4 linked regions of the Drosophila melanogaster genome follow. The protein of the gene in region 2 interacts with the protein of the main gene of each other region in a pairwise test. Each region holds a gene or a part of one and is shown on either strand. Other genes may lie near its edges. The genes, in order: CG13603, CG43732, Eglp4 and CG42493.

Region 1 (8,108 bases), 5.0 Mb from region 2:
TTTATCTTGTACTTTTCAGGTTCAAAAGGTAGTTTATCCACACAACCCGCACGAGACGGATGAACTGGAGCTCCGAATCGGCGATTACATCTATTTGAATACCGAGGTAGTAGACAGTTCCAGTGACGGTTGGGCCGAAGGCATATCTTGGTTGACCGGAAGCACCGGTCATTTGCCCGTCAATTACACCGAACGCACCGCAGAATCGGACGCCTGGACCCTGCATCGTGTGGTCCAGCTCTCCAAGAGCGTAGCTTCATCATTAACTTCCGCCGAGGACTTGGACATTGTGGACGGACGCAGTATATCAACGGAGCCCGACGATCGTCAGAGTGAGTCGTATTTTGAATACAGTGATCCTGGATTAAGTTAGTTACATTGCCTCTCTCAACAGACACAGCACATCCTGATATAATTGAAGGCTCTTCGTTTGAGGAATCCGAACAGAGCGTGGAGAAGTATTTGAGACAGACTTTGAAGCCCTGCCTGGAACTACCCTCAGTGCAATTGCTAAACAGCCACAACTTGACCCATCAGCATAACCCTAACACGCCTACGATCGAGATAACGACCAATATGTCTTCTTCCTCCACCTCCATGTCCAAGCAACCGGTGGACGAGATCTTGGTGGAACCACCGGCAGCCCAGCCTCCGCGTCCAGATGACACACTTAGTGTACACTCGGACCACTCCTTGCATCCCGGATCCCTTGACGCCTCGCATGCCAAGAACAGAAAGATCTACATTATGCGGCATGGCGAGCGAGTCGACTTTACTTTTGGAACATGGATTCCATATTGCTTCGATGAGTTTGGAAATTACATGAGGAAGGATTTAAACATGCCGAAGACGCTGCCTCGTCGGAAGAACAGTCCGGAGGGCTGGCAGAATGATTCTCCGCTGACAAATGTGGGTGTCTATCAGGCCAATCTTATTGGTCAAGCTTTGCTGGAGGCTCAAGTGCAGATCGACCATGTTTACTGTTCGCCCTCGTATCGCTGCATCCAGACTTGCACCAGTGCGCTTGAGGGGCTGAAGCTTACGGGCAAGCAAAAAATCAAACTGGAGCCGGGCCTGTTTGAGTGGATGGCCTGGTATCCGAGCGGTGTACCCGACTGGCTGACTAAGAACGAGCTGACCGAGGCCAAGTTCGACGTTGATTTGGATTATGAGCCGGTGCAGCCAGCGTCTGAGCTAACTGCTCGCCTAAAGGAGTCCACCGAGCAGTTTTATGAACGTAACCATGACGTTATCCTCCAGCTATTGGAGCAGACAAGTAAATTTATACAAATGTGGTTTTAAAAAATACTCGAATGCCAATTTTCTTTAATTCCAGCTGGAAATATTTTGGTTGTTGCCCATGCCACCACACTGGACACTTGTTCCCGTCAACTGACCGGTGGAGTTCCACGCAGCACGAACGAATTGCGCCAAGTCATCCACAAGATCCCCTACTGCAGCCTGGCAACGGTGGAACAGGTGGACGGCGTCTGGAAGCTGGTTGAACCCGAATGTCTTCCGGTGACGCACTCAAAGAATCCGCGGTTCGAGTGGAACGCCTTGTCGGCCACCTAGTGCCAGTGCTTAGAGCAGTTTCTCTGCAAGCATTGAGACTGAGACTCAACTCGATTGGGACGGACCTGGAGGTGAATCACACGCTGAAGAAACTATACGTAAATTTTTTGTTCGCTTAGCTATTTAAAGTACGTATTGATTTACTGTTTAGAAATTGGCGCCGCATTAAGTTGATTGTACTGCCATACAAATTTTAAAGTAATTTATATGTACACTTATGATGCAAACCGATGGAATGCGATTTTGCTGCGGTGTATAAACAATCCATCTATTATAATTGCACTGCTTATTGAGAAGCCAGCGCGACGGACTCATACTTTATTGCAATCAATGCGATCTATTGACTATATATATTGAATATATACATTTATACCGTATGCCAGTAATTATACTAATTGAGCGCTAGCTCGCCGCTTTAGCCATAGACTAACTTGCCCTGTTACTAGCTTAGTTGTTAGATTGTTTGATTAGCCTTGCTGCGTAACGCAGTTTTTTGTAGCCATTTATCCAAGAGGCAGACTTTTCTTAGCAACTTGTTGAGACTACTCCGTACGTAAAGCCCAAACATATATCGATATTATCGACTAGATTTAGAAGTACAAAACCATGTAACAACGCACAACATAATGGAACAATAAACAGTATACATTGAACACGTGTAATGCCAAAACATTGAGGTGTAAACTCCATTTCGCTTCCACGATCCCCAAGAGGAAAGACGGACGATAATTTTGCATTGTCTTGTGCGACTCAGAAGGGGTCGACCTTTATTTAATGCGCATAGAATTAGAATTAGTAATGTAATTGGTTTAGTTGTTAAATCTATAATATAATTGCTGAACATTTTACGTGAATTATATATCTGCATTTTGTATTGTATTGATTCGGTAATATATATCCCCATATATACGCTTGTTTAGTTTTAGTTTGTGTGTGTTTGATTTAAAAAGAAACCAGCAAGGCTGCGGCTACAACATAGATCGGTGTATCCGAATGCAATGGGTTTCAACATAGCGCTTACAATCTTTTCTGTTTTCATTATGTTTCTCATTCGAAATTGCTTACGGATCTGCCGCTTAAGTATTTGAAGCATTAAATGGTATATTTAGTAAAAGACGCTCATCTCACGCGCGTTTTTGGAGAATTTTTGAGGGCTTAAAATTGATGCTGGAGATATAATAACTCATAACTTGAATTAAGCGAGCGGCCGCCAAGCTGGGCCAAACTCAAAAGCTAGCAGCAGCAGGAGGACGACGGCCATCAGGCCTGCCCTAAGCCAGGATCATCGCCTCGCCGCCGTCCTGTCCAATTGTTAGCACTGCACCTTGCCGAACTGGGCGCGACGCTCCTGGTACTCGCGGTACTCCTTGTAGTGCATCTGGATCTCCTGCGAACGGTAGCGCGTTAGCTTTATGGACTTCCTCGTCTCCGGAGTTATGGCAGCCCGATAGCCGCCCTTCCGTAGGAGTGAGTCAATGGTCTGCAGCTGGTCCCAGCCCTGTTCGGTGGCCACCTGCGGCAAATAGGTGGCTGTGCGCTTGCAGCCGCGTTCTGTGAGGAACTCGATGCGGATGCCATGGACGCCCAGTTGCCAGTCCAGGTGGCCCTGAGCCTCCTCGAAGTTCTGCAGAATCGAGACCGAGACAGTTAGCCGTGGCAACTCATCTCTAGAGATAGGTGCAAATCTAGAGTCCTTAAAGGCGCTGGTCAAGGCGTACTCCCGAAGACCATGGTGCAGTTCCATTGCACTAAAAGTACCAATGCAGCCACGCAGCCTCTTGTCACGCCCAATCTTCCAGGTGACAAAGAGTGGGTAGGCGTCGTTGCTAAACACCGGCACCGATGGACCATCGACGTTGTTCAGCTCACAGTCAAGCACCTCGAAGCAGAACAGGCACATGTCTGGCACAGCGACGGTCTTCATGCCATGGCCGTTGGAGAACCGTTGCGGCTGGTGCACCATCTGCTGGTGCTGGTATTCCGGATCTCCGTTGCTGGAGTGCGGCTGCTGCTGCTGGTAGTTGTTGTAGTGGGAGTTGGACATGCTGTTCTGTGTCAGAACTGGTTCACTAATTACGTTAGGTAGGTATATTGAGGTTACAACTAATGGCAGTGCACGTTGATGCTCTAAGTTCAATTAACACAACAGAACAGCCCCAGTAGGAGTTGCCACAGAAACGCTGCCGCCAGTCCTCTAATCGTCTTCTGAAAATCGGTGGTGGTGTTTAATGCTGGTCTCGAATTCCAAGGCCTTGGCTTACCTGCTACTGCGTAAACTAGGTCACCTGCTGCCCTCCAGTTTGCGCTGACCTCTAGCCTGTGATTCCTGGCTCCCTGCTAACTGATCCAGACCTCGTCCCCGTGTTCCTTGGCTGCCGTCCTGCTGCTAGTTAGCTCATAAGCACCTCATTGAATTGCGTCCGCTGATCCGCTGATGCGTCTGCAAAAGGTCGTGTGCGAGATAGACAATAGAGGAGGGTGCTCTTAAATGGATTTCCATGTTAATTCGCCCGAGCGATCTTCACCTTAGGTTTCACAACAGCCTCTATTGGAAAATTCGGGGAAGTGGGGAAAATCGGAGGAGAAAGCCCCCCTCCTCCTATTGCATTAATTGCTCTTTGTTCGCCCTGGCTGTTCCCCCCACCCCCCGCACTTATAAAGGGCTACGCGCCACACATGCACACGGCCCTTTGTCTTGGCTGACCCATCTAGGAGCCAGGGAGCACCGTAGGTAGCCCTCAAGAACAATATTTTACCTTTTTTCAATGTAAACAAATTTTACACTTTTTTACGAGTTCAGTGGCGAACTAGAGATGGCTTAACGAGAATGATGGCCCCAGGGTGTATATATCGATAATTGCGCATACCAATGCAGGCAGCTGCAGGGTGCTGTCCAACACTGCTTATCGATAACACCAAAAGTGCATTGCCGTGTTTGTCTGAATATTGTGGAGTTTCATTTGTTTTTGTTGAAATCAAAAGCAAAATGGCTTTGGCCAACGTGCTGCAGCTAAGCCAGATAGCTGGCCATGTCATCCTGTTTATCCTGTCGCTGTGCATCGTCGTGCCATTGTTTATAAACCTCGACCAATTCTGGTAAGTGCGCAGTTCCTCTTTGGTCCCCTGTAAATTATTGAGTTTCTTTATTCTATTTTCCCACAGTGGCCACTGCCTGCTCTTTACAACTGGCAAATGGCGGGAGGAGGACGGCATGTTCGATGTCCAGTGGGCTTCCAATGGCTTCTGCAACTTTCCCCTGATTACCGGGTTCTTCCTGCTAATTATTTCGGTGGTGCAGATTTATAGGTATGTATCTTGTGGGTATTATTCGGGGTTTTTGACATCTAGAAAGTGAATTTCTTTGCCAAATAGATACGCCCGCATGAAGGAGGAGGCCTCGTTTATAGCTCTGTTCATTGACGTCGTTCTGGGCATTTGGATGCTGGCTATGTCCATTTTGTCGGCTATTTTCATTACCCTGGGCTTTATTGTCTGGTGCGATTCCATGACCGAGAGATTCCCATCCTGTGCCATTTCCGCCGGTCAGAACATTATCCACGGCGACACGGAAAAAATTAACACCTCCGGATTTTACATTGAAATGGGAACCACTCAGGTAAGATGATACAAAAAAAAAATTCTCATCTATTTTTTTTTTGCTTTCTGTGGCAATTCTGAATGTTTGATTACGTATACGTAATATTTTATATTTTTATGTAAAACCAAATATTCAGTTGTGCATGCGAAATTAAGTTAATAAACTCTTTTAACCACTTCTATTGATTTTTGTTACAGTTTGGCGCATGGGGTTCATTCGCAATTTCCGTTGGCATCGCCGTCATCGCCCTTCTGAAACTGATCGACAACCACCAGGTGCGCAACATCAAGGTTTCCATGTACTTGGAGCGACAGCGGTTGGTGAATCAGCAGCAGTACGACGGCAGGTCGACCCCGCCGATCGTTTCGAACGCATCCTCCGACACGGAACAGAACAAATAGTTGACGTTTGTGATCAATCAGCAGCAGTTTGTAATTCTCTACGTATTTCTCATCATGTGCGTTATAATCATTGTATGTCATTTCGTCCTCGTCCTTATCATTGAGGCAGACAACCGGCAACACACATTATCTTTGTAGTGAAGGAAACTAGAGATATTAGCCCTATGTATTAAGCCAACATACGTGATATGTAATGTATATATATATATATGTATTTAATTAATTATTCCATGTTACAAATATAGTAAAACCAAATTATTAATATTTCTGAAATCATTCATTTATAAAGATACTTACGTATTGCGGATCATCCCCAACAATCCCAAGCATTCGAAATGAAACAATCAATGCAACATGTTATGTCAGTTACATTTATTTTGCAGTTATCTTCTGTGTTGTGTGTGTTTTCTTGTTGTTGATGTCATTCGAATCTGTCGTAATGTCAAACGGATTTGGGTTTGGATTTCACGTTTGCATTGCAACAAAATGTTCTTATAGACTTTAAAGCGACGCTATTGTACATTTAATATTAAATTCCGTATTTGCTTGCGTAGTCTGTTACAATTCAATTAAAAATTTCTTGATCGCACGGCATTTAGCCCCTGATCGCTGTATTTTTGCGTCTAAATTCAATCTTTGCCTGCACCGAGTTTGTTTCTTAAATGTGGAGCAAAAATGGTGGAGATTTACTTTTGGTATAGAGAAAAATAGTTACTTGTACATTTACGGGCTTTGCAGCTGAATCTCATCGATACTGTATCTGCATCTACGACTGCTTGGAGTTTGGTATCGGTATTCTGTTTTTCTGTTTTCTGGCATTCATGAAACAATTTCCTGGGATCTTACAATTAACACTACATCAATGTATGTACTATAATTAGTATTTTTAGTTTTTGCGTTTTTTTTTGTTTTATGGGTAATCATGTTTTGGATTTCTTTGAATAGCATATTATTTAAACTTACATTCTATTTTTGGTTTTTTTTTTCAGTGTTTTGTGTGTTTTCATATTTTGTTTTTCATTATTTGGTTTTGGTTTTTCATTTTGTTTTTGTTTTTAAATACATTCAAAAAACATAACGCAAGGGTGTAAAAAACGATGTGCAGTGTTTCCTTGTTGCGGTTTCTCTTTGTACGAAATGAGGCGATAATAACCAAATCTCCTGCGGGCTGCGATTCAATTTGCTGGGGGCTAATCGATCCAGTGAACGCCAATTTTGGAAGGCGTGCTGGAGGATGGTCCGGACGACGACGTCGCGTCGCCAAGGACGCCGGAGGCTACGCAATCTGGGATGATAGTGGGTCGAATCGTAAAGCAAAATCATAGGTTTTTCTTAATGGTCAAATATAAAAATTGGCTCTGGCGCATGTTTCGTTCAATCCATTGCATAGCCCACGACTGGTGGCGTCGGGCGCGCCCTCCGATCTCTGCCGCATTTGGCTAGAGACGTATGTCACGGAAATCGGTCGAGTGTGCTCCGATTAACCCCTGGCACTGAGCCCCTTAATCGCAGCCGGAGGTGATTTGCCGAACGCAAAGGGTGGTGGTGTTTGGTTTGGTTTCGTGTTTGTGTTATGATCAAACTCCCACCCAGCCGCCCCACACCCCACCCCCACAAATCCGCAAGCGGATTCGCAAGGGGCGGGACTAGGGACGGATTGGGCTTGGATTTGGATTTTGGTGAACACTGCCATGCGATTTCCGTGACCTTTCCATGGCAGTGCGTGTCTGATGGATTGCGGGAAGAACTCTGGTCTGTTCGTGGACGTGTGTCTCTCGGTGTGACCTTGTTTGGGCGGCGTACCTACAGCCGAGTGCGTCCCGCGCTCAATGGTTTTTCCGGTTGTTAAGGCCGGATCCGGCTATTCCCGCACCCAACTGGGCCACGCCGTCGCTTCGTGTAGTGAGCCAGGGATGGACCGAGTGCGCAGGCGAATAGCCGCTGGGGCAAGGGATCCGCACTCGACCCTTCCCTGGCCGGCGATACTCAACTGCTCCTGGTACTAGCACTATATAAATACATAGTTGGTAGTACCATGAGGCGTGTGGTGTGTCGTTCACATAAGACGTAATGTAAAATTAGTTATAAAACTTTCAAAAATTGTTTTCTTTATAAGCGTTTTAAAGTTGAAATTGTAGTTTTTCGGATTTTGTGTCTCCTCTGTACTCTTCTCATTCCACTAATCGGATTTGATATCCAAAATAAGTTGGTTTTTTTTTTGGTTTTTTCTTTCATTTTTTGTTTCTTGTTTTAGACAAATGCAGGTGAAATACTTGCGATGCCATTGCCTACGCTCGAAAAATGCATTTTCCTATTTCTCGTGGTTTTTCACTTTCTTCTTTCTTTTGGTGGACGCACAGCAGCGGAGAAAATTCATACCAATTGCACAATCCAAAGGTGTTTTTCCGCATTTAATTCAATGGCACACAGGACGAGCTAGGCCCGCCTGTGGGTTCCAATTTATTCGTCCCAATTAGTAGTTAGCCAACTATGCAATTTGCAGCTTTTTTCCCACTCAAAAGTTTCAATATCGC
Region 2 (9,506 bases):
AAGTATGCAAACAAGTTAGGTAATAATGATATTTGCAATGTTTTCTTGCGGTTTCTTTCAGTGTACGTGTGAGGCTCACGTTTCCGCCTTCAACTGCAGTTAAACTTGATTTCTGTGTATCCTTTGTCTTAGTTCCTTGGACAAGCGTCTGGCCCTCATTGTAACCCACATGAATGGGGCTTATACTCGTATGCAGGCGTGTGTATGTGTGCCTGTTAGTGTGTGTGTGTGTGTGTGTGTCAGTGGAAGTGTGTGGGTATAGCCTCGACACAGTAGCTGATGGGTGGTGGTGGCCTTCTTTTGGCCCGCTTCCTGACCCAGCTTGTTGCATGTTTCACGTTGGCTTTTATGGGGGAGATTTTTAAAGCTTACACAAAGATGCTTCACTCTCGTTTGTCTGCCATTTTATGCATTCACGTATCACAAAAGAGATATTTTAATATGCCAAGGAACGCGCGACAAAGATTAATGAAATTCTCGCCTTAAGCCACATCTTTCTGGCTAAGTGAATTCATTTTCTTCGGATGCGGAAACAATGGGAATTTGTAAGCAGAACAACGCTGGCATATTACGCGTTTACCAAACAGAAGTTTAGATTCCGGGAAATATTGAAAATTCAAATTGGCTAATCAGCCATAAGGCCCAAGGCCTTCGCTATATGCCAATTCCATTTGGAATTTGGAAATAAGGTATTTGGCGAAAAACAGTGGCTGACTGGGGCTATTTGAATTGGCTTCCTGTCGGCGCTTATTTCATTGTGGCAGCCTCTGTTTATTTATAATTCGATTGGAAATGTGTTTGGTCAAAGAAGTTCATTTCGATTGGCGCCACCTCATCGCATTTTACGACCATTCGCGGTTTGTTTATCTTTCTGTGTTTAGGCTTAATTACCGTGGCATTTCATTCATATTTAATGTGTCGGAAAGTTCTGCCCACCCGCACAGAAACTCAATCGAAATCGGCCTTTGAGTGCTCGCTCGGTTAATGATTTTTATTGAAATCGGCATAGTTTTCACTCGACTGCCCAACGGTCCATAAATTCATAATGCTAAGGACGAAACTTTAGCTGGCTATTTGCTCCGTTCAGATTGATTAGAAGATTGATAGACTGGCTGTAGCTAAGTGAGAATGACTTGAACTTTGGGAACTACTCGTAATTGATTGGCTCAGCCAGTTTGTATTAGCTTTTTCACGCAGGAGATGCCAGCTAAAAGGTTGCGAGTGTGGTTTTGATCGCATGCCAAATAATTTATGTCTTTTGTTTTTTCGCCAGTTAACAAGGTCTTAAAGCTGGTAAGCCTTGTGCAAATTTCATTCCAGAGGTGGCACATCAAAAGACGATCCCTTCTTTAATCAGCAAACTCATTAGCATCGTCCGCTAACTAAATACAAATTAAAGAAACAGCATCCACAGCTGGCAAAGCCGCTTGCCTTTCCCCTTTTTCCACGCTTTTCCGCCTGCTCCTGCTGGTTGCTAAAAAGTTTTCACTTCGCAGCCGTCAAGTTGATGTAATGAAAAAGTTGCAGCATATTTTTAACAATATTTTCCCAGCTCATATCACATGACGTGGACACGCTGGCTACTTTCTACTGGCAAAAGCCAATGCTGCTGCGGAAAGCCTTCAAAACAACAAGAACTCGGCGTACAGGGCGCTAATTAGTTTCGAGTCGGCGTTTTCAATGGGAATATGGTTTGAAAAAACATCGCTCATACGCAACGTTGGCCCGCAGCCGCAGGTTATTATTATAATTTTGGTTCGGAATGGTAAAAAAAACGGAAATAAAACTTATTTCTAGCACACAAACTGAAATAAATAAACACTTTCGCTGCGAAAGTGGAGACCACACCCTCCACTCAAAGCCGTTTTGCACGTAGCTTTTCTCGTGAGCAGCCGTCGGGAAAATCGCTTGCAAAAGTGAAAATTGAACAAGGAACCAAAGGCGCAAAGGAAAACCATATGAGCAACGGGTTAGCACTGTGAAAGCGAATCCAGTGCAGCTCATTATAAAATAGCCAACGTAAAAAACCCTATTTCCGTTTTTTTTTTTTTGGGGGGGGGCGGGTCAAAGGTGCTCGCTCCGGACCCGAAAATTCACTTTGAGATTCCAAACAGAAATTTTAACGATGCATATAAAAACCCGGCGACGGCAAATGAATAAATAATTTATGCGTAAAGGTTCCTAAACATTCGAGTGGCTGGGTAACATTATTTGCAAAGTTACTCGTCTCTTCTTTCTTCGCATTTTCCACACGTAGCAAATTGTATCTCTCTATTACCTGGTGGAAGTAGCCTGATTTAGTGGCAGTGCCGCCCACCTTAGCCGAAGAAAAAGAAAAAAGGGTTGAGTTTAAAACCCAGCCAACCCCGCAAGTCGACTTTTCACGGGAGTCCCTTTGGGTTATGTTTGCTTATCACCTGGTTGGCTATCCAAACAAGGTGGAAAACGATTGCGGCCCTCTGTTTGCACATTTGGCACGTTTCAATTTCGCAGCGATTGCCGAACTGCATGCAAATTGCAACTGAATCCCACTTTTTTTTTGTACGTTTACTACTTTGCATATGGCAAAGAAACTGGGAAAGCACTTTCATCTGATGATCGACTGTATGGATAGACATCGGAGTGAGAAATAGTCAATTACGAAAATGATTTTCGTGAGTAATTATTAAATAAGCTGCAATTTCAGGTAGGCAGGCTGACTATAAACCATCGCTTATAGTGAAACGTGAGCGGAATTTAAAAAGGAAAGTAATTTACAAAATGTTTACAAATATATTGAGTATTGGTTAGAATAATTGGTTGCCGTTATTAGCATGTTTATAATAAGCGTGAACGAAAATAACGATTTTTAAACAAAATCGTTTCGTTGAAAATCAAAGTATAAATCTCTTGAAAAATATTGCATTCAATTCAATTAATCTTTTGCTGAAAGTGTAAACGGAAAAACACGTCTTCTGCTAGTAAAACTACAATTTTATTTCGCAGATCATTTCCCTTTTTTTTCGGATCAAACAAGAGTATATTCAGATCTAAAAAATGAATTGGAAGATGAGCAATGCGTTTACTCCTGCCTCAAATCGAAGCTGTCACTTGTCAGTGGCACGCGTTGCAGGAACGGAAATCGGAAAGTTCGCCCGGACTTTGGCTGTGACTCCAATTAAGCAGCTGGCGAACAGGTGAAACAGGTGAGACCCAGCAGAAGTTGTCATAACTGCCGTGGACACATTTCCATCGCCATCACCATCGTCCCTTTTTCTTCTGTCTTTTCCGCATTTATCCAGACTTATTGCTGCATTGCAAACAATACGAGGGCCATGTTGTAAATCCCCCAACAATTGTCTGCCTCCAGTTCGTTTTGTAACCTTTCGTTGCCCAGATTGCCCTCTCCTGTTTAAGGACGTTCCAAGAAAAAGCAGCCAGGGTTACCGATTAGGAATGTATGGCCATTGTGCATGTGAACTAATAACGCATTTGTATGTTTGCTTTTGAAAATGGCGAGTTAGCTTGAACGTGAACTCATCCGAAGGAACATTCGCTCAATGCAAATAAAACCCAATTTTGCTGAAATGAGCATTTTTTTTTTTTTTTTTGGTGAATCGTATGGGCATGTGGACCGATTCCAAGAATCAATTTACATGGCCATTCTCGTTTGGTCAAAGGAATAGGTGTCATAGGTTGATATTAAATGGAAATGCAGCATTGTAAGTGTGGCAATAAATAATTCAATACACAGCACGGAGTGACTTTCATTTTAGTTGTTATACAAGTGAATTCCATTTAATAATTTCATTCGTGATAAATGATTAAGGTATTCTTATTTGGAATTGTTTGCCAAAAAACATTTGCATTTAAAATTGTATACGCGCACAAAAGAGGCATAACTTAAATATTGCAGTGGTTTTGCTGACTTTCAAACATCATTGTTTAATTTTAAGCGAGTATGATGTTTAAATGTCTTTAATCCTACCAAGTGATTCTGCAAAATACCTCCCAGCCTTTTGCCCCGATTGATCACCATAAATAGCCCACTCCACAATCTTATAAATGCCGAATATCTCAATTGTGCACCATAGCCAAGGCAATTTCAAAAGAATATGTAATTCGGTTTCCATTTGAATATTTACGTCTCGCTGCCGAGGGCTTTCTCAATTGATTTGTAATTCACTTTTGTGTCGAACAATTCCGCGTTGAGCTCTCCGTTTGCCAGGCCAGGGTTTTTCTTATCGCCGGGATTGGTTTGGCCGGATTTTGGATTTTGGATTTTGACACCGAAACGGAATGCTTAAGCAAACATTAAAATGCAAACGCACAGGACGAAGCGATAAGGCGGAAAGAACAAGAGACCTTAATCGGTGGTCAAAAGCGGGAAAAGTGCGCGCGTTGCTGGGAAAACTGATTCGAGGCTCCTGTCACACGATGCGATTAATGACGCGTTCAAAAGCTGGTGGCAAGCGGAATCCGGAGCTGAATTGAGCTGGCTGAAAAGCGCGTTGCGAGTGTGTGTGCCGCACGGCCGACTGAAATCGACTGACTACGCTCGGCTGCTGCCACGGCATTTAAGGCAGAGAGTGAAGTCGGAAAATGCGAGGAAAATTCGGAGGAAAAGCGAGAGAGCACGCCGCGATGACATCAAGTGAAAGCTCTGCCATTTGAATCGAGAGACGGCTGTTAGTCCAACGCCAATATAGTACGGCAGCGAAATAAATCAAATTGAATCTATGATTTCGTTTTTGTGCACTTCTTTTTTCTACTTCAGGACCCCAGGACTCCTTGGCGCAGCCTCCTCCTCCTCCGCCTCCTTCTCGAGTGGATCCTTCAAGTTGTTTGCCACCGGATTTCATTTGGCTGCGGCTCAATGAGCCGTCGATTCTGTTTGTTCGAGTGGCCGACGAGCGCTTTAATCGCCCATCCAAAGCCAAAACCAAAGCCGCCACTCGAGACAGCTGGCAGGTGGCAGATTTCAGGTGAAACCCGAAGGTTTCCAGGTGCCAGGCCATCAGGTGGTGCCAAAGCTGACAGGTGAGAATCTTGTTTAACTTCGGCTTCTGCTCATTATGCTCCTCCCGTTTTGGTCCGACTTGGCCGTTTGTGCGGATAATTGCCGCCTTCAATTTAAATTGCCAACGAGCTTGGCGCACCTAATTTTCGATTTCATTTAATTTGGCGCAAATCTCATTAGGGCAAAAACGTCGCCCAAGATAAATGGCAGTGTGTTCTTTTGTTTTTTTTTCTTGCTCTTCGTCCGAGGCATCGAATCGCAGATACTTTGACCTGTGCCTGGGGCACTGGCGTCTTTGACTTTCCCTGCTCCGTCCGGCATGCCAAGTCAGCGATTTATTTGGGCCAAACAATGGCGGGATAACCCAGCAAACATTCACTGGCCAACTGATAAGCGCCAATCTCTTGGCAAATGATAACACCGTTGGCCTGGCAGCGCAGGCGCGAGCTTTTCCACAAGAGAGAGATAACGATGGAGAGAGTGGAAAAGCCAGAGAGCTCTGCCAACTGATAAGAAAGCAGCAGACTTATGCTGCCTCTGCATCTGCGGCTTCAATTGTCTTTAATCGCTGCTCAAATGTCGATGATGTCCTGGGAAGTGTTCTGTGGGATGGGTTGGAAAATTGGAGAGCGGTTACCCCGGGGAGGAACTTTAACGAATTGTCATTGATTTCTTTTGAAATGGCACCGCTTTTGTTTGCCTTCGCTTCTGCCACATTAGGCAGCTGAGCAGGGGGGGGATTCTGCTCCTCTAACTCTGATTACTGCAGCTCTGCCTATCGGGGGCAATGATCACAGATTGAATTTGCTCCGGCGGCAGCCGGTCTTAAATAATTATGAGCGCGTTTAATTAATAAGTTTGCCAAGGCAGCAACAAAGACCTCGAAAAGGGTTCTTCCAGAAATATGCTGTTATTGTTTTTGCGGCCGGGAAGCAATTAAGACCGCCTAGCGCATTGTCTTCTCGGCCTCAGCCCCGTTTGACCCCAACTTTGTTATAAATTTGCCTTTGTGCGTGCTCTGAAAAATGACCAGCCCCTCAAATGTAGAAAAAAATAAATATATATATATAAAAACTGTCACACAAAGAGTTTGAAAAACCGAAAATGAAAAAGAGATAACTCAGATCCGAAAGGGGCAGGGACTGGGGTGCCGGAGCGGATTGCTTCCTTCCTGCCGGGGGACGCTCACTTTTGCCGGTCATTAAATTTTTTTCCATTGCCTTTGGCAGTCGATACATATTTGGCTGCGTACATAAATAATGAGCTCAGTTGTTGTTTGGCCAGATTTGCAAATGTTCTTCGACAGTTTCAATTATTTATTTACCAGCCCAGCCGACGACTACAGTGAGCACTCAGTGGGGTCTTTAAAACTGGCAGGCTAAAAGCCAGCTAGTGGACACTCGAGACTTGCCAATTAGGACGTAGGAAAATTGTTTTACATGAGTTGGTTGAGAGTTACACATTTTTTAGCAGGACTATGGAGGGCAGCAGCAACTTTCACAGAAGTTTAAAGGGAAAAGTGCCATGCTAAACCATTAAAGTTTGATGTGGCTACATTTAGATACTATAAGTCCGGATTCAAATAAATTCATAAAATTCATGAAGACGAAAAACTTCTTCAGCTGTTAATAGTAAACCCATATTTTTAACAATTAAACATGAGGTACATCATGTACTTGTTAAATACTTTGCAACGAATCTAGTAAATAAAAAGTACTCACCTGCATAGAATAAAGGCAGCAGATTGAAGATGATAACCAGCGGAAATATAGAGCGTGCAAACTTTTGCATATCCGTAAGGATGCCGACTGCCGGAGTCGTTGAAGCCGCAGCAGCGTAGTCCTTTGTGGCTTCGCCGTGTTGATAGAGCTTTCGTTGTTGTTTCGTAGAGTCCTGACTGACTTTGGAAGATAGGCGTGATAGGCAAGTGCTCGTGGCGAGGCGATCCTGCTCCGAAATCCCTGTAGAAGCGACCAAAGGGGCAGCAGTATCAGCCAGGTCCTGCTGTTGCTGCACGACAGGAAGAACAGCAACATTGCGGCCTGCAGCAATGTCGTCCAAAGGATTGCGCATCCTGTGCTGGGTGTCTCTATCGCTGTCAGAGTTCTCATCTGTGGTCCAGGACTGCGGACATTCGCTGGCTGGTACATCATCTGTTGCTGCTGCAGTTGCAGTTGTTCCTGTTGCTGATGTTGCTGCTGCCGCAAGTGTTGACTGGCATAATGTTGCTGCTGCTGTTGTTGTTGCTGTTGCTGCCTCTGATTCGCTTTGTGTTTGTGTGTGGCACAGAAACGTATCGTTTTGAAATTGCTTCCGACTGATGCAGTTGCAGTTATTCGTGTGCTGCTGTTGTTGTAAAGGTTGTCGTGTTGTTGTTGAAGAAATTGTTGTTGGTGTGTTATAGAAATGTCGTATCTGTGCTGAGGCCATGTTGTGCCCTGAAATGAGATATAAAACGGCAACAAAGCCATTAAATCGATGTTGAAAACCAATAAGCATAGTGTGCACATTAAATTGACAATTCGAACTGTCCGCCATTAAGTTTTGATAAGCCCATTGCTTTGATTATCGACCCCAACAACGCTGTTGCAAGGATTTCAAGCCGAAAGGGATGCGGACAGCATCACAAAGCATTTGGGTTCTTGTTCTTTTAATCAATTTCCACTGGCACGCCCATTCGGTTAACGCCGGCGGGCAATCCTTTTGCTGTTTTTTACAATCAGCCAAATCCCCGACTCTCTTTTTTAACTGGGTTTTGACCGAGGGTTAATGTTTGTTTTTCCAACGTTTTCTAAAGTTTTGTGTGTTTTTATTTACAAAGGAAGTAAGCGTAAGCCGACAAAAATTTAACATGTAATTTAATTTCATCTTTATTAAAAACTTGTGTATTTATTTGTGTTAAAAAATGATGTTACTATGATTTGGTATTGTTTTTTAACTACAGACTTAAGCTCAAGTTGACCAAATTCATTGTGTACTTTAATTTTATCTTTATCAAAATATTCGTTTATTTGCTTTAATAATTTTTATGGTACTTTTATGGTACGAGATCTGTAATGGCTAAATTTATAGCACAGAGCTTTTGCTCTACATCCTTGGGTAAAAACTGTAAAGGATTGCAAGCTTACATCGTAAAAGCTTTTAGCTGTGTAACTGTCAATTGGTTGTCGCATCCGCGTATACGTAATATTAATGTAACTGTAAGCGATGAGCTTTTGCTGTTATCGAACTGTTAAAAGGAAAAGCTTACACAGACATATGTACATACAGAAGCAATGACTCTCATAACAAGGAAATGATAAGAAATCTCCTAAAGTTAGCCTTTCTTAATATATTGAATATATTGAACGAAATAGAGTGTCTTTTTCCGCAAATCCCCACCTAACTACGCCACTGTGTCGCATACACATTCCTCATTTGCAAGCCATAAAAATATGCGAAATAATCATAAATAACCTACAAGTACACTGTAGATAAGCCCTTGGCAGATGCCACGCCCATTGGGTCAGGCCAGGCATTTATCAAATTTCCGCCACTCGAAATGTTTTTGGCCGCAATAACAGACGCCGTAACAAGTTTGCCAACCCTCAGCCCCCCGACTGCTTTTATCCTTGTTGTGGCTGGATGGTTGGCTGGCTGCTCCTGTTGTTTTAGTGATTACAGACGTTGATAATAAAGTAAAAATTGCAACAATGAACGCATAGACATCATGTCTATGGTCATACTACTCGGCCAGATCCAACAACCAACCATCTAACAGCAACGCCCACACGTAGCACAGAGCCATAAAGTGCTCGTAATCAACGTGAAACTGCGATGCACGCACACACATCTATTGCTGAATGGGTGATGGCGAGCTTGTGCACTGAGAAAAATTACTATTGATAGCTACAGTGGTCATATAAAATTACAAATATATATATATATGTAAATATGGCTAATATACGCGTTTTCCACTCAAATAAAGCTTTTTTTTAATTACTGCTTCATTGTTTTTCTCTAACTTGTAAATACAAACTTATAAATAGCTACAAAGTTGGTTTGTTCTGAAAAGATTAATGCACTGTTCTTAAACCCTTTAATTTTTAGGTTTAGTGTGCAATAAATTCTAGATGCGAAAAGAGTATCTCCTTTAAAACAATAAGAAAGTCAGAAATGCAAAAGAGACTTTTTAAAACATCTTCCAAAAACTGAAAGCAATTTTCTTTTTTTAAGTTAACGTTTTTCAGTTGTACATTTACGATTTTTCTCAATGTTTTGGTGCGTGGCCAATGTTGGCCACCGGACCTCTGCTGGCCGCTAGTCGGTGCCTTTCCCATTTTGCTAACGAAAATTGTCTGCAATGCTGCACTAATGTCATCAGGGCGTATGCGTAACTGGGTGAATGTTCAGTGCGGAGTGTTGGAGTTTTTCCGAATGACGGCGAGCGGGTGTTGAAGGCGGGGCTGGATTGTGTGGCTGAGTGGTGTTTTCTGTTACGTTCCAGCTGTATCCATTAATTCCGGGC
Region 3 (7,929 bases), on a different chromosome or scaffold from region 2:
GATATTTTAGATTTTGATTTTAAGACTTGGAACTTGGTGGATCACCTTGCGGTTGTAGCCATGATTTACGTGCGTCGCGACGAGCGATTGACTTTAACGGAGACGTGGTCCGACGTGGACTGCACTCCAGACCAAGTACTCAATGGTGCGAATCGCATACTCTATCGCCGGCTCTTAATCGCCGGCAATCTCGTCTAATCGCCTTAGGTGGGTTATCAGCCAGCGTTTCTATATACTCATATCTACCCAACTATTGCCAAACATTCGCGTTGGTGTGCTCCATTCACTCGAGTGCGTATGTCCACTTTATGACGTTTTAAGGCAATTCAAAATGTGACAAGGCACTAAGTTAGTGTCCCACTAGAAAGGGGGCTATAAGCCATCTAATCAATATGATTTAAGCCGCCTGTTGTAATGGTTGAAACGCAGAACATTTCATTCGCTATCAAGCTGAGCAATTCTAAAAGGGGCTACTTATCAATGGCCATTGATAATGATTTTCAAAGACCTATGGACCTATTGATATATATGACAAACTCGACAAACTTTCCAGCGAATACGAGCCCCCAAAAAAATGGCCAATATCGCCGCTCATCCCAATTGTATGCTATGGAAATAATACAAGGTGGTGCTTAATTACTTAATCGACCTAAATATTTTGTGGCTCTATTATTACAACATATTCGTATATATATATAGTTTATTCGATAAGATTCAATTCACACCTATTGCACTATAACCTCTCCGATCATTCGTATCTTGGCATCGGAAGTCCTCAGATCGATCTCCTCGTCGCCCTTAAAGGCCATGCGATAGATCAGCGAGGTCACAGCTCCTGCCACCAAAGGACCCACCCAGTAGATCCAGTGGTGTGCCCAGGAGTCGTTCCAAACAGCTGGACCCAGTGATCTGGTCGGATTCATGCTGGCTCCCGTGAAGAGACCCTAAAAGCAACAGACTTCCCATTAAGTAACACTTCGCAACTTTGAAACGCACCGAAATACCAACCGCTGTGAGGATCAGACAGGAGACGGTGAGACCGAATCTCACGGGCACCGAATCCTGCAGCTTGGCGTTCCGTGGATCCCACACCGAACAGGCCACCATGACCAGGCAGCAGGTAATGAGGAACTCGATGAAGACCCCCTGAAGTACGCTGATTCCGGGGGCCAGAATTGTCACACAAACACCCGACGGGTTGTCCACACCCTTGATGGAGTTCCCAGGCAGAACAGCCACCAGGAGACCATAGCCTATCAGGGCTCCGGCAGCCTGGGCCACAAAGTAAGCAATGGCCCGGATCCAACCGATTGCGCCGTAGAGCCAGGCAGCCAGGGTGATGGCCGGATTTAAGTGGGCACCGGAAACGGAGCCGAAGCACTGGATGGCGATGAGAATGGCCAGGCCGAAGGTGAGGCCACTGCGAAAGTGCGAATTCTGGAACAGCGGCGTTTCCACACAGCCCATGCAGGCTATGAAAACGAAGACGGCAGTCGCCGCCAGTTCACCGAAGAAGCAGGCTATCGCACTCCTTTGGTGTCCTTCCAGGCGCCACCTGGCGTTCGGATTGGACTCCTGCGATTTTTGCTTCTGTTGCGACATGCTGACGGAACTCTACTGCCGCAATTTTGGGCGGCTGCCCAAGTGACCCAACGTGCCAGCAAAATTTACGGCAATCAATCAAAATCCATTATAAAACCTTAATGCTAATTATCGAGCGCAGATTTGGGAGCAGCTCCCGCCCACCCATTCAGGATGGATCAATCCATCAAGGCGATTTTCGGGGGGCTTTGCTCAGCCGTAATTATCGGCCTGATAAGCGCCACTGCCATTTCGCCCGATTTGTGCTCAATCTTATCTCATTAAGATCTTTATCGAACGGCGAACGGGGTCGCCGAGACCTGGCCAATACTCGTACTTCTTGTGTGCCAGCCAGTGTCTGAATCGCTACAACAAGGCCAATAAACCTGGCCTATGGTGTTCGAAAGCTACTCGAAGGAATCACCCCGTGATTTCCAGAAATTCCAGAAGAGTGATGCAAATCCAGCATTAGCATATCACCCATAGCACATAGTCCCCTTTAAACCACATAGAACCACATATATCATTTGTGCTTCGTATACGGACTATAGACCCGAATGGAGTACGTAACGTACAATAACTGCATATTGTTGGTATATTTTGGCTTTATTTGGCTGATACGCGCGTCTCATTCGCAGCCTGCTGATAACGTTTTTTAGCCACCATTTGATTGGTCGATTTGGAGGTACTAAGATATTCGAATATCTTATGAACAGATTTTCCAAAGACCGCTTAAGCTGATGGGCTTTTTTCACTTTCGATTCCTGGAAAAAGCTTATTGGTATTTTTAAGCCCGGAAGTTACTTAGAGCTAATCAAAGCAAATACCTCGTTATTGAAGAATGAAAAGCTTTTAGATAATATGGACTCAACATGTTTTAAGATGGCCCAGAAGAGCAGAACTTCAGGTATCAAATAACTACCAATATCTTGTGTAGAATTTCTTAAAACCATAAAAATAATTTACTTGTTTTGTTTTGGTTTTAGATTAAAAATCTCGATGTTCTTTATTTCTGAAGGCAATTAGTGTTTTCACCAAGACGTTTATCGTTTCAAGGGCTTATGTAAGTGTGTGCACTTGGTTCGCCTTTTGAAACGTTCGAGCCACTTTGTGAAGACACTGCTAACATTAGCGTACAACGAATGCATTATTTTAAAATTCGGCATCTTAGATATTAACTAAATTAGTTAGGGCTTTTCCTACAGCAATGTCTTTGGCCTTACGACAGCTGGACGTCCTCCAGTTGCCGCAGCTTCTCATTGGAGGTGATCTCCGCCTCAACCACCTCGCGGCGGAAGACGACCTTGTAGGCGTAGGCGGTGATGGCGGAGGAGCTCAGCGGGGCCAGCCAGTAGATCCAGTTGCTCTCGAAGTGCTTGTTCCACAGGGCGGGGGCGAACGACCTGGCCGGGTTCATGCTGCCGCCGGTGAAGGGACCCTAAAACCAATGGTAGGGAACGAGGTTAATAATCCGTTTCGAGGCAGGTAAGGATTAGCCAACTGTTCGCTTTAACTTACGGCAGCGCAGGCGAGACAGGCGATGGCCAGGCCAAATCGAATGCCCACGGAGTCATGGAACTTGGAGTTGCGCGGATCCCACACTCCGCAGCAGACGATGACCAGGATGGAGGTGATTACGAACTCGATGCCGAGGGCCTGGCCCGTGGTTACGCTGGTGTGGGGCAAGGTCACGCAGAGCCCAGCGCCCACCGTAAGTGTGGGCGAGGGAAGCAGGACCATGAGCAGGCCGTAGCCGATGAAGGCGCCCAGCATCTGGGCGGCGAAGTAGGCAAATGCCATGCGCAGGGTGACCATCTCGTAGATGTAGGCGGCCACGGTCACGGCGGGATTCAGATGGGCACCGGAGACGCAGCCAAAGCACTGGATGGCGATGAGGACGGCGAAGCCGAAGTTCAGCACAATCTGCAGATGGTTGTTGGGAAAGAGGTCCGTCTTCACGCAACCCATGCAGCCCAGGAAGACCAGGATGCCGGTGCCGATGAGCTCGCCGAGGAAGGCGGAGATTTTGTCCAGCGTCGATCCCTTCATTTTGAAGACCTTACAGCAACTGAAATGGTCAGAGAAGCGCTTGAATAATGCCACACTAAAAAGCGAGCTACCCTCTCTGTCGCACGCCATCGTCCATCTCTTTCTCGACTCTAAGTAGACCTGCTTAGGAACTTCATCAATCATATCCTATCTAAGACCATCCTATCGTTTCGCAAAGCCCTCCTCGATTTGCACCTAATCCCCGCGACACACTTCTACAATCTCAACTATTGTGCAACTTTGTAGTTAGTTTGTCAAGCTTCTAGACCTTTGCAACTGCTGTTCTCCTTCGGCTGCCTGGACGATTTCCTGCTGGTTTTCCACCCCTTGCGGATCCATCCCCTGCTGCTCGAGGTTCATTGACTTGGCATCGATTTTCCAAACACCCTTTTTTGGAAGCACAACTTATGCTGCTGATCCGACAAACGATGCCTGCTGCGGGAATGCCATCGATGGCTGGACTGACATGAAGTAGCCGTGTACTAAATATAGTAGACTTGTGATTGCCGTTCGGCTGTCAATTGGGTTTATAGATAAATGGCCGAAAAAATGCGAATCAAATCACGACATGGCCATAAAACAATAACCAATCTTTTTCAACCTTATCGCCTGAGCGCCACTCGAGTCAATTGGAGTTCACTACGTTGCGAATTAATCCGTTTATTGTGATTGGTAAATCCCTCTTTCTGGTAGCCAGAACTCTTGTTTTTTGTTTTTTGAATTTCTTTGGTTTCGAGTGCCAGATAATTACCGAATCTCGTGGCTCATTTTGACACTTGTCCAATTCTTTGAGATCGCACTATATAATCAATCTTTTCCGTAGCTGGTGAAAATTCACAAAGCGGCAGCGCGACTGTCAATGTCAATCTGAGGCGGTGGAGTAGCCATAGGCAAATATTTATATCTGTGTCTATATAATATTGCGTAAATCAAAAGCCCATTTTTAGCCCCTGTGAGAGAGCAGCAACACACACAGATACACACACACACATATGAAGGGGACCGACCACAAGCACACACACACACACACACACACAAAGGCGTGGAAATTAGCGAATCCTACTGGTGAGCATAAAAAAGTCAAGTGTCCAGAATTTATGAGCATCTTAAACGCTCATTCGCTGCTCTCGTTCGCTTTTGCGATTATCTCTGGAGCGATGCTCCTTCTCGCTCCCACTCTTCCTTTACCAGTCACCTGGCTTAAATCATTATAAAATGGTAGAAACAATACGGATGATATTCCATGGAAACAAGGTTAGATATTAACACTTGGTGTGCAACTGACATACTGGTTTTGCTCTATCGAATTCATTCGACTTATTCACAGCATTTTATGAGAATTATAATATTAAAGGTGGTCCTTACATTTGTTTTTTAAGTAAATTATCATTTTCATTTAACTTGTTTCTTACTATTTGTTTGCCATGAGAAAGGCAAATCTGCTAAGCAATGATTGCTAGAATTAGTAGTAACCATAGTTCCTAAAATACGACATTTTCATTGCGTGTCATTCAAACTTAGCACTAAACTGTAATTGATAGCGAAAATCCCCATAATTATTTTCAGTGTAGTTGGTCGGTGGGCGGTGGGCATAACACTGTTATGCTGTGCAAGTGCGTGACGCGCTCGCAATTGAAGCAGGCGGCATATTGCGTATTGATAACAGCAGAGTGGCACACTATCAATTACCACCGTCGCTTCGATTCCTATCAATTGCAATTGCTGCAATTGAGGATGCGTTGCGTGAATCGGGCTACCACGCAATGTGGCAAACAAATCACGGCAAATCTCGGCACGCCTGTCGATCAAATTGCACGCAATTTGCGTAGTTATGTGTCTCAATAACAATTGGATCGTCAATAAATAATAACAATTTAAAGCAAATATTTTCAAAAGCCCTGCTGTTGCACACACACCCAGTACACACAGTGGCTCAGGTGATCAGAACTTTTGACCCTCACTGACCACGCCTAATGTTTTCCATTGCTTTCTCGCCATAACACACATTGGCATTGCCACAGAAAACGGTGGAGAAAATAGCACTGCTGGTTCATTTGCGTTTTGGCCCTTGGCCAACGGCAAATGTTTGTGTTTGGCCAACTCATTGACAGTTGGTTGGTCAAAAGAGAGCGACACGTTTTGGCAAGAGACAAAGAGATTAAAGGCAAAGCAGTAAACACGCGATGGATCGAAAGTTTAAAAATAAATCAAACACACCATCCGATCGGCAGCACAATAATAATAATAATAATTTAATTACCACCTGCACCTTTATCATATTTTCCATGCCCAGAAGGATCACGTATCATCCATGGGATCGCTGCATGGGCCACGATTTTCAATGGCCCGAGGGCCTAATTGACAACAAACCCCGTTTGGGATGATGGATCTTAATTATTATGATCCATTCTCAGCGTTTGTCTAAGTGATGGGACGTGACTGGGCGTTTCTACGTTCATATTTTGGGGAGTGCTAATCGCTGATGTTAACGGAAGTGGGGACTGTTAATTAACAGAGCGGTGCGATAAGAACGGGCGACTCCTCGGAGCTTCTCAAAAGCTCAGCTGCTAGGATGCGCAACTTTAACGAAGCTTCGATCGTTAGCTTTCGGCGAGCTTTTCGATGAGCTTCCTTATCACGCGGCATTATTATTAGCTAATTATGACTAAGTTGGTAATAGAGTGATAAGCCTTCGGCCAGAAGCTCGTCGTAAAAAACTTGTTAGCCTGAAGAACAGCTAATCAATCCGTGCCGATAAGCCTCACCCGCTGTTTGCTGATAGCTGTGGCTGTAGCTGCTTAAGAAGTGATTTTTGCTAGTGGCCCTAAAATGTTGGCCATAAACCATACGCCGCAACCACTGTCACTCGCACTGATAACCGATATCGAGCTGAGTGAGTGGTGATGGTGTATTGGGATTGGCGGTGTCTGGCGGCGCAATATCACAGGCTTAATTTGGCCATAATTGGGCCAACTCAAATCGGATTTACTCGTCAGACTTTTGACATCGCCCCGCATTTACGGCTCTTCCAAAGTGCGATAGTGATCGGTTGCCGACTTATTGATGTGCAACAACAACAACGTATACCCCTTTATGGCATTCCAATTGCCAGCTGGATCGTAATTGAAGCTCATTATGGTGCCACAGGCGGAAGCCTTAGTGCCCATTGACCAAGATCCATGGCAGCCTCTTCCTAGCCCCAAGGTTCTGCTTCTTATCTGTGCGGCTTATCAGGGCAATGGAAACTGCTGACGTTTTGGGTTGCGCAACAGGTTGTTGGCATCGCCACCTCGCAGTGCTGCCCCCTTTTATTTACGGCTGTAAATACGGGGGGCAATTAAGACGTGGTCAACAATACGGCAAGATCCACGCACACGGCTCGAAAATGTCAGGTGCTCTAGCAGCCGAGAAGGTCTCTGATTTCGTGGCTAAAACTGTGGGGCTTCGTCTTATCAGCTGGCCACGAGGTTGGGCCACTCGAAAGGCGATTGCTCAGACTATGATTTGTGAAAGGCATTGTAATGACTAGACAGACAATTTGCTAATTACTGGCAAATAACTCTTATTTCTGTTGCTCTGATAGCACTCGGCAGTGACCTAGGCTACGAATTCCTTTTGCTCTTCCACGAAGGCTGGTCAGCAGTTAATTTATGGTTCGATGTGGCCTCTAATCGTGATATTTTTTATTTTTGCTGGCAATACGTATGTATATGCAGTCCATTTGATAATGGCGATAAGGATGGAGTGACTCTGGAATTTGGCTGAAGCTCATGCATTATGCAACGGCCCCGTCCTAAAGTCTTGAATTGGAACTACACTCTGCTCAATGGCGGCTGGGACACCGCCGTTGATAACCTGCTAACCCCACGGCAGAGCACCTTATCAAGTGGCAAAGCAACCAAGTTAATCGCAGTTCCGAGTGGCTGCGGTTTGTCAAGCACAAATACAATGGTGGCGTGGGATTGAATGACATCAACCAACTGTGAAGAATCACCGGGTTTTGGCCAAGTCAGGCACAATTACCATACAGGAACTGCCATAACAGACACTTGAACTGGCCCAATTTGAGTCGGGCCAACTGTTCCGTGTCCGACCGGTTTCTCAATCATATGATGTGACTTTACAACTGGGCCAAATCTCGATCGATTCGTTTAATAGAGCCAACAATCTGGATCTGGCGATGGTGCACGCGATTCGCAACTCGATTGATTTATCAAATTTGATTAGCACAAACTCGTGAGTTCCCCCCTCCAAAAGATCTTAATCGAAGGCATGTGCCAACTTATATAAAATCGAGAC
Region 4 (7,599 bases), on a different chromosome or scaffold from region 2:
GCTGGAGATGGAAAACGGGAGTGGGGCAATCTAAGACAAACAGTGTGCGGATTTATGGGGTCGCTTTGGGTCGAGTCGCCGTCCTCAGTCGCATGTAAGAAAAAAAAAAAACGGAAGCGGAAAGACGCGAAACTGACACACAAATGTTGAGCAGAGGGTCAAAGACAGGAGGGGGGGGGCGCAGGGGAAGCTGTCGAAAGGACTGCCAATCCTCCCCTGCAATAGAGGCTACACTGAAACCGATGTAGCTAGGAAAACATTCTGAAATATGAATCTAATTTAAAATGAATCATTGTACTCAAAAATATGACAATTAGCACCATATAGTGGATATAAAATTCGAAACACTATTACTGTGACAAAAATATGTGTCTGTTAACAAGAAATTATTTTTTCAGCTAAAAGAAAATAACATGATATGATAAACTCTTTTTTCAGTGCACTCATCCTTATGCGTTCTTCTTGTTCTTTTTTGTTTGGATTGGCAAACGGAAGCGAATTAAGTTGCCTTATGCGACGAAAGGGTTCAGGACACAAGCCCTGACCGCCGAGATATCAAGCTCCTGGGGTGCAGATCGTCCTGGGGTGAAATTGATATGCGAACCCAGACAGATATGTCCCAAGAAGCCGCAGATACAGTATCTTGTGGCCTGTTAAATGTGCAGAAAATTTCAGATTTTAATGATCCACTCGGTTATCGGATTTTCAGCGCCCCTAGATTGCTTACGTCTCGATGGGCGGGCAATCGCAAAGAAATGTGTAATTGCCACGGCTCATTGCATAAGCGGTACAACGCGGCGGATTATTAATATTTGCCAACTTGCCTGTGGCAACTCAATAGATAATCGTTGCGGCAATTTGTTGTGAACGAAGCCAAAAATGTTGTAGTGGATTGATTTCCTAATCTGCATTAGCTTTACGTCATAAAACAGATTCACAGTTCGCGTATTAAATCAAATTGAAAACACAAACGAAATGACTTCTTTCCTTGACCACACCGATTAGATTTATTTGGACGCGTTTCAGACTTTGATTTAGAACAATGAAATTCCTTCTGCATTCGTTCAGATATTTGCTTTTGAACGATGATAAATCAATTTTCGCTGGCAAGCAAACCGTGTATACTTCATATTCACGGAAATTCTCTTTTTCACTTCACTTTTAAATTCCTCATTAGAGGAGCGTCCATAAATTTTTTATTTTCCAAAAGGCCACTTAATCTAGGAATTAATGTTGTCATTCTGCTGGTTTCAAAGTGAAGTTAAAAGTGAGAGTGAACGATTTTGCTTGTCAGCTGACAAGGAATTAATACCCAACGAATATGAAAATCTCCCCAAGTCAAATAGTGAGGTAATCAACAGTTAAAAACGCAGTCAAGGTCCAAACAAGGTGAGTTTCCCGAAAAATATAATTGAATCTATTTATAAATATCTTATTAAAGCATATTATTTCACTCAAGCTTGCCGCTTTTCTCTTTTATTTTCTCGAAATGGGTGTGACTAGCTGGGTGTGCAACTGTGGCAAGTGCAACGCCCACCTGGCAAAAGGGCAATTTGTTGCGCTTGGTTGCGCGTGGAAATTATGATTTTTGCTTTTGTGAAAATCTCATTAGGCGCTGAAAAAGGATGCCGATTTTTGTAGCCATAAATATAGGTTGCTTGCCCGCGATTTGCAGCTCAACTTTAAACGGCCATCCTAGTGGGTCCGCCTTACGTGGCGTTTTAATTAAGCTCAGCGTTTTATGGATACCTTCTTTAATGGCACCGCATAAATTCTAGAGGAGCCAGTCGGCAGCTTGGATCAGGAGTTTTAGCACTCCGACCCCGATTCAGATCCAGGGCATAAAACGCACGGCAGGCAGTCGGAAAGTGAATTTTATGCCAATCATTAAACAAAGTTGTGAACAACAAACCAAACTCAACCGCTTTGTATCGGGAGTTATGTCGTTGATAACTTTATCCCCAACTTTGTAGAGCGAAGCAGTGCGGATCGGATCGAATCGGGGGAGCTCCTTTCCTTATCGATTGCCTGATAAATGTTTGACACAGAGTGTGGGCTGCACTCGAGGAGGGTGTCATTCAACTCAACTGCAACTGTATCTGCTATGTGTAGCTGTATCTGGTAAATAGGTTTTATGGTTCTCTAAAGACCTGCTTATTATAACTGGATGTTAGTATAAACATGGGTTATGGGCTCAAGCGATGACTCACCGTTGCAGTAAACACTGAAGTGGACTGTGATAGGAAACATTGTGCTCTCAATTGGACTTTATATTTGTCACTTATTCATATGTACGAAATACTTATATGATAATGATTTTATTCAAAATAAATATTGTGTAAAAGGAAATGGGTGTCTAGATTATTTCTAAATAGCTGCTGCTGTTTGTAGACGTTCAACAGACATACGTTCAAAGTATTAGTCATCTATACAAAGTGACACATGTATCTTAAGTAAGTGAATATTTCTTTAGAAATATTATTAAGGAAGTGATTATTTGGATACCCTGTTTCCTGCTTTCATCACATACTTAATTAGGGGTCACTTAGGTGTGACTCATGCACTAGGAACGCCGCACTACTTATATAAAATCCCACCAGTTGATTTTGGGTATCACTAGTCCATCGGATTATCCGTTAATATACGATTTAATTCATAATGAATGCGTGACCATAAGCTGTTCGTGATCGGCGCTGATTTGGCTCATTTGTAGTTAAAACGCTTTGGAAGCTGATTTACTCGTCGAGTTTTTGCATATCTCATGAGCAGCATGAAATCCGAATGGGAAACCGAATGATTTATTTGCAAATGCAACATCGAAATGCACTCACAAAATGAGCTTTTAAGTGGCCGGCCCTCGACTTTCGACTTTTTTGTTGTTTTTATTTGGCCTGTGTTGACTTCACCCTTTTTGGGGGGAAAAAAACCGAAAAACTCAGTGGGAACTGTCACCAAGTGCTCCACATTTGTGTGTAAAGCTTATTAAGAAATGTTTATTCCGCCTTCTGTCTCGCTCTTTCTGGGGAGCCTGCTTCCCTCTCATTTTTATCGAGTTTAATGGATTTTTAATGAGTCTGAAGCGGGGCTTTTGACGGCATTTTCGGAAAGTGCAGTTTCATTATCGCTTAATCCTGTTTGCCTTTCAGGAAAGAGGAAGACAAGCACACAACAAGCGACGATTCAAAAAGGGGAGGGTACAGCCTACTGAGTTCGGAAAAATGATCAAAAATTGATATTATCGGTTATTTGATTTAATGCATAAATAAGGTATTTAGTTCATATAATAAAAAAAACTACTTATACTTTATAAATCGAATTTATTGCCTTTTGAATTAAAAAAATGCTTACATTTGAGGCATTTTAATCGCTATCACTACTAGTTGATTCCTCACTGGAATCGGATGATTCCTCCTGAGACTCAGCCAACTCACTATAATAGGACTTCACCACGATCAAACAGTATCCGAGGGCAACTTAAATGTAAAAATGTTATAGTTGGTCATAACACATCCAATCCCAACAAACATACTTATTCTAAGGATTAGCAAGCTATCCAACAACACGGTGACAAGGGTGAACAAAAATACCATGTAGTTTATCAACAGCCAAGTTCCGATTATCAAAAGTTTGTGCTGAGTTTAGAAGGATTTTTGAGATAGGATTTGCTAGATTTCGCATAAACTCATTCGAACTCACGTAAAAGACGGCATAGATCAAAAGAAAGTGGTTGGTCATCATCAACCAGAAAACGGTGGCAAATCCGGACACACAGATTCGGGTGTCCATGGTTCTGAAGAACTCGACCACATAGTCTGGATATTTGTTTCTGATAACCATGTCCCATGCAATGCTGCCCACGATGAAGTCCGTGAGTCCAAAAGCAATGCCCACAGTAATAACGCCATATTTCAATGGCCAACAATACAAAAATTTTCTTAAATGCATATTTTCTGAAAGTCGGTAAAACTGAAAGATAATGACGGAGCTCTTGGTTTTTATTTTGGATTAGAAATTATTTTGTTTTCTATTCAAAGAAAATATTATCCAGCATCACAACTATTGTGCAAATTTTGAACACAATTTTTTTGTTGCATACTTTTTTTTAAGAATCTTTCAAGATGTCTGCGATGAGAGATGTAAACATTTATATCAACCTCTTCCACATTATGCTTAATTCTTAATTAGGTTAAACAATAACACATTCAGAAATTGTGCACATGTGCGACTCGAATGAATAAAATTGGACTCGCATAGATTGGAGGCCAAGAGTCCATTCGAAACGGAATCACCTGTCGGTGTAACGAGTGTCCAGCTAACTGAAATTACAGTTAGTGGTAGCCCGTAATCCTACACACTCGTCTCTAGTATTTGGCCATCGGCAGTTCCGAGAATTCTAGTTCTGTAGACAGCAATTAGATAGACAGAGACAATGCCAAACAAATCAAGTCAAATACAATAAACGCCCTGGCATTTTATCAGCTCCAAATCAGACATAACATCAGCCGCCGGGGCTCTCGAGTGTCGGGCCCTCAGATCGCCAAGTTTTGGTTTACAACGCAAAAGCGACAAGAAGCGAAAAAGGGTTTGCCTGCGTGAACATTCTTTGATCAATCAAGTGACGCGGAAGCGACACAGATAGCTGATAGCAGATAGCAGTTAGCATTCCTTGCCTTCTTGGCCTAGTCATGGCTAAAATATTTGGCCAAAGTCTGTCAGGGACTTGCATAACGAGGGTACACAGTTGAGACCCCAGTGAGGGTCGTTCGCCCGGATCGATCGATAAGGGAATTCGGCACTGCAAAATGTGCGATCGAGTGGAGGCATTGAGTACCCGTACTTCAGCCCAATTATCGAGGTGGTATTTTAATTAGGCTGTGTAATCACAGCTCAGCTCAGCTCATCGAGGCCGTACTGTATTAGCCAATTGACCGCAACTGTACTCCTGCAACAGTTAGCAAATGGGACTGACCTATCTTACACTGATAACGATCGTGGACAGCGAAGGTTCTTTTCATTTTTGGAACCAAGGATCCAAAATAGACCGTGGCGACGGTCAACTGGATTAGAGTCAAGCTGAACGGATCGGTTTTAAATTCCCCTCCCAGCGGAAATACCCAAAAATAGCATCAGTTGCCAATGTAAATTTAATTATGGTCAAGCTTTAGGTATTATTTGCTTTCTTTTCGGTTCCTCACGTATGATTATATTAGCGGGGCAAAATATAAAAATACAAGGTTAAAGTGCTTCTAAGTACAGTTGAGTCCGCCACGCGTCGTTTGTTATCGTTTTATCGATATCGCCGAATATGTTGCTTCAGTTGTTAATCCAAAATACAACATGGCATTTGACAAGCGAACTAATTGATTTGATTCTCGTGCCGTGGGGTTGCGCCAACAAAATGCGCCGATTGCAAAATCACGCATATAATCGACGCCATGGTACCCTGTGAAAACGGGAATGAACTAAAAGTATGTTTTTCGAATTGAATTGCATTTCTTATAAAAAATACTAATATATAGATTTAAATTTATGTTTAAGATTTAAATTTGTATTTTGTTGAATATATATCCATCCAAAAACATGGTGGAATATTTTTGGGTTCATGGTGAATATTTGGAATTCCTTTGATATAAATATTTACATTAAAGATCCCGATTAAGACCTCATTTACCTTTGCAAAGCTCATTACGTCTTCAAATTTAGAACTTAAGCTCACTGGAATAGCAAACCTATTGCTAAGTTTTGTTTTTGCACAACGGAATGTTAAACATTTTCGACTTATGGAAACTAAATAAGGTCAAAGAAAATGACTGGATATTGGCCCACGGAATCCAGAGTTGCTCAAAAATTTGGTAAGGAAAAGCTAAGAAACTGCCTGAGTAAGTAGACCTACAAACAAGTACCAGTCTTTTGTATCTGTTGATAGACAAATATAATGCTTCGCAATGTGGAATATTCCGAGAGCCTTTTGGGTTCTTTAGCCGACAGTTGCCTCACTGATAAGACAAAATGCGTTTTGCAATAACGGAACAGCTTTATAAGCCCCCATGAATAGACCTATTTTCTGTTTGTCTTCTGACGACGGGGCGGTCTATGGGAGGGCTTCGCCTTGCATGTTACAGGAAATAAACAACAGGCAGTAATTATGCAGCACAAACAGTGGTGTTTATAACAGTTTTCCAGCCCAGACGTAGCCAAAACACCAAATCATGGTAACTTGCATCGCATGGATATGGCATGTGGCATATGCCATATGGCACATGGCACAAATCATCATCATAAACAGCTCGTCGGCTGTCTTTCTTCGCCGGGTTCTGTTGTCAGCACAATCACAATCACAAAAAGGCCGCCTGGCGCTCAACTGCCCGCAGAACGCTCCATAAAAATTGGGGCGGGGATACACTGAGCGGAAGTTTGGCTTGCGATAAAAGCCAGTGGAAAAGGGAGTGTTCTCTGTGCATATAACCCAAAAATAAAGCCCTGGTTCCTGCGGGGCCTTTATGAGTTGCAAGATGAGATGGTATAATATGCGGAGTCAGGGGATCTACAATACAAGTGGGTCACCTGCGGTTGACATAAGCTATTGCAATGACAGGTGGTAGTGCTCGGGTTGGTCGCACTGCAGTGAAAGTGATCGTGGGGGTTCCCATTTTCGAAGCTGGAATACTAGGAGCTCCAACTTTAGAACTCAGCTATTGGGTCGCGAAAATCAATAAAGAGTAGAGAGTTCATTTAAATGTAACTATTTATAATCAAGAACGAAGAATAAAATAATCATAAACAAGCATACAAACAACAATTAATAATGATATAAATTAAATTATTAACTTAAATCGTGCAAGCATAACAAACTACATATTCAAGAAGCTGCTCTATTAAACACACCATTTCAAAAATGTTTAAGTATGGCTATTAAGTACAAATATTACCGGAAGACTCTTCGTTAAACAACAACCATTAAAATTCCATTTCGCGATAATTCCACCCAATAAAAACGCTCCCCAAAACAATGCTTCCGAAACCCCGAGCAGCAAACAAAAACCACCTGAAAAGCAATCGATTATCACTTTTGATGTGCTGCCAAAAAGGCGCTTATCTAAGTGCGCAAATAGCTGGGGCTAAGCTTTTTCTTTCCACACGCGGCGTTGGAATTTCGCTCAGTGCATTGTCAGTCATTCAATGCCGCCTTTATCGCCTTTGAGAGGGCGCCAAAGGCAGAGAAATGCGTGTCAGATAGGACAGTCCAAAAGGAGCCCCCTATCTCGTATTATAACAAATAACAATAATATGAAAAAATAATTGTGTCTTTTTGTTTGCTCTATATGTCAGCTGGAAGCGCCGGCCAGGTGGAAAAGGTGCTCCACGAACTCCGGAGGGCCTGTGCTTAGCCTTCCCCATTTAGATACAGATACAGATACCCGCCGCACTGCGTCGATTGGGCTGTCAGTATCTTTATATTAATCAATAAGAGCAGCTCCGATAAGATTGTGGAGCTCCGTCTGCTGCTGCTTCTATCGAATGGGGCAAAGTGGGTGGTGGGTGGTGTAGGCTGGTGGCCGGAGGACTGGGACACAAGTGGGTGGGTGGATATCCTTCAAG

What was found.
Region 1: the proteins of CG43732 (region 2) and CG13603 interact in a two-hybrid assay, tested with the Drosophila melanogaster proteins (one large-scale study listed by BioGRID).
Region 3: the proteins of CG43732 (region 2) and Eglp4 interact in a two-hybrid assay, tested with the Drosophila melanogaster proteins (one large-scale study listed by BioGRID).
Region 4: the proteins of CG43732 (region 2) and CG42493 interact in a two-hybrid assay, tested with the Drosophila melanogaster proteins (one large-scale study listed by BioGRID).

What each region holds. Positions count from the first base shown.
Region 1 is NT_033777.3:23,982,939-23,991,046, reverse strand, and holds CG13603 (uncharacterized protein), read left to right. Parts: upstream 1-4,477; 5' UTR 4,478-4,561; coding exon 4,562-4,671; intron 4,672-4,737; coding exon 4,738-4,881; intron 4,882-4,947; coding exon 4,948-5,191; intron 5,192-5,370; coding exon 5,371-5,574; 3' UTR 5,575-5,834; downstream 5,835-8,108. Other genes in the region: Epp (ecdysteroid phosphate phosphatase), read left to right, coding at 20-332, 395-1,276, 1,337-1,575; CG5902 (uncharacterized protein), read right to left, coding at 2,888-3,619.
Region 2 is NT_033777.3:18,945,222-18,954,727, reverse strand, and holds the start of CG43732 (uncharacterized protein), read right to left. Parts: upstream 4,533-9,506; 5' UTR 4,125-4,532; intron 1-4,124. Other genes in the region: CG42613 (uncharacterized protein), read right to left, coding at 6,721-7,429.
Region 3 is NT_033778.4:23,605,033-23,612,961, forward strand, and holds Eglp4 (entomoglyceroporin 4), read right to left. Parts: upstream 3,899-7,929; 5' UTR 3,775-3,898; coding exon 3,100-3,774; intron 3,020-3,099; coding exon 2,801-3,019; 3' UTR 2,560-2,800; downstream 1-2,559. Other genes in the region: Eglp3 (entomoglyceroporin 3), read right to left, coding at 726-944, 1,009-1,602.
Region 4 is NT_033778.4:11,774,938-11,782,536, reverse strand, and holds CG42493 (uncharacterized protein), read right to left. Parts: upstream 4,012-7,599; 5' UTR 3,946-4,011; coding exon 3,697-3,945; intron 3,633-3,696; coding exon 3,530-3,632; intron 3,474-3,529; coding exon 3,361-3,473; 3' UTR 3,302-3,360; downstream 1-3,301.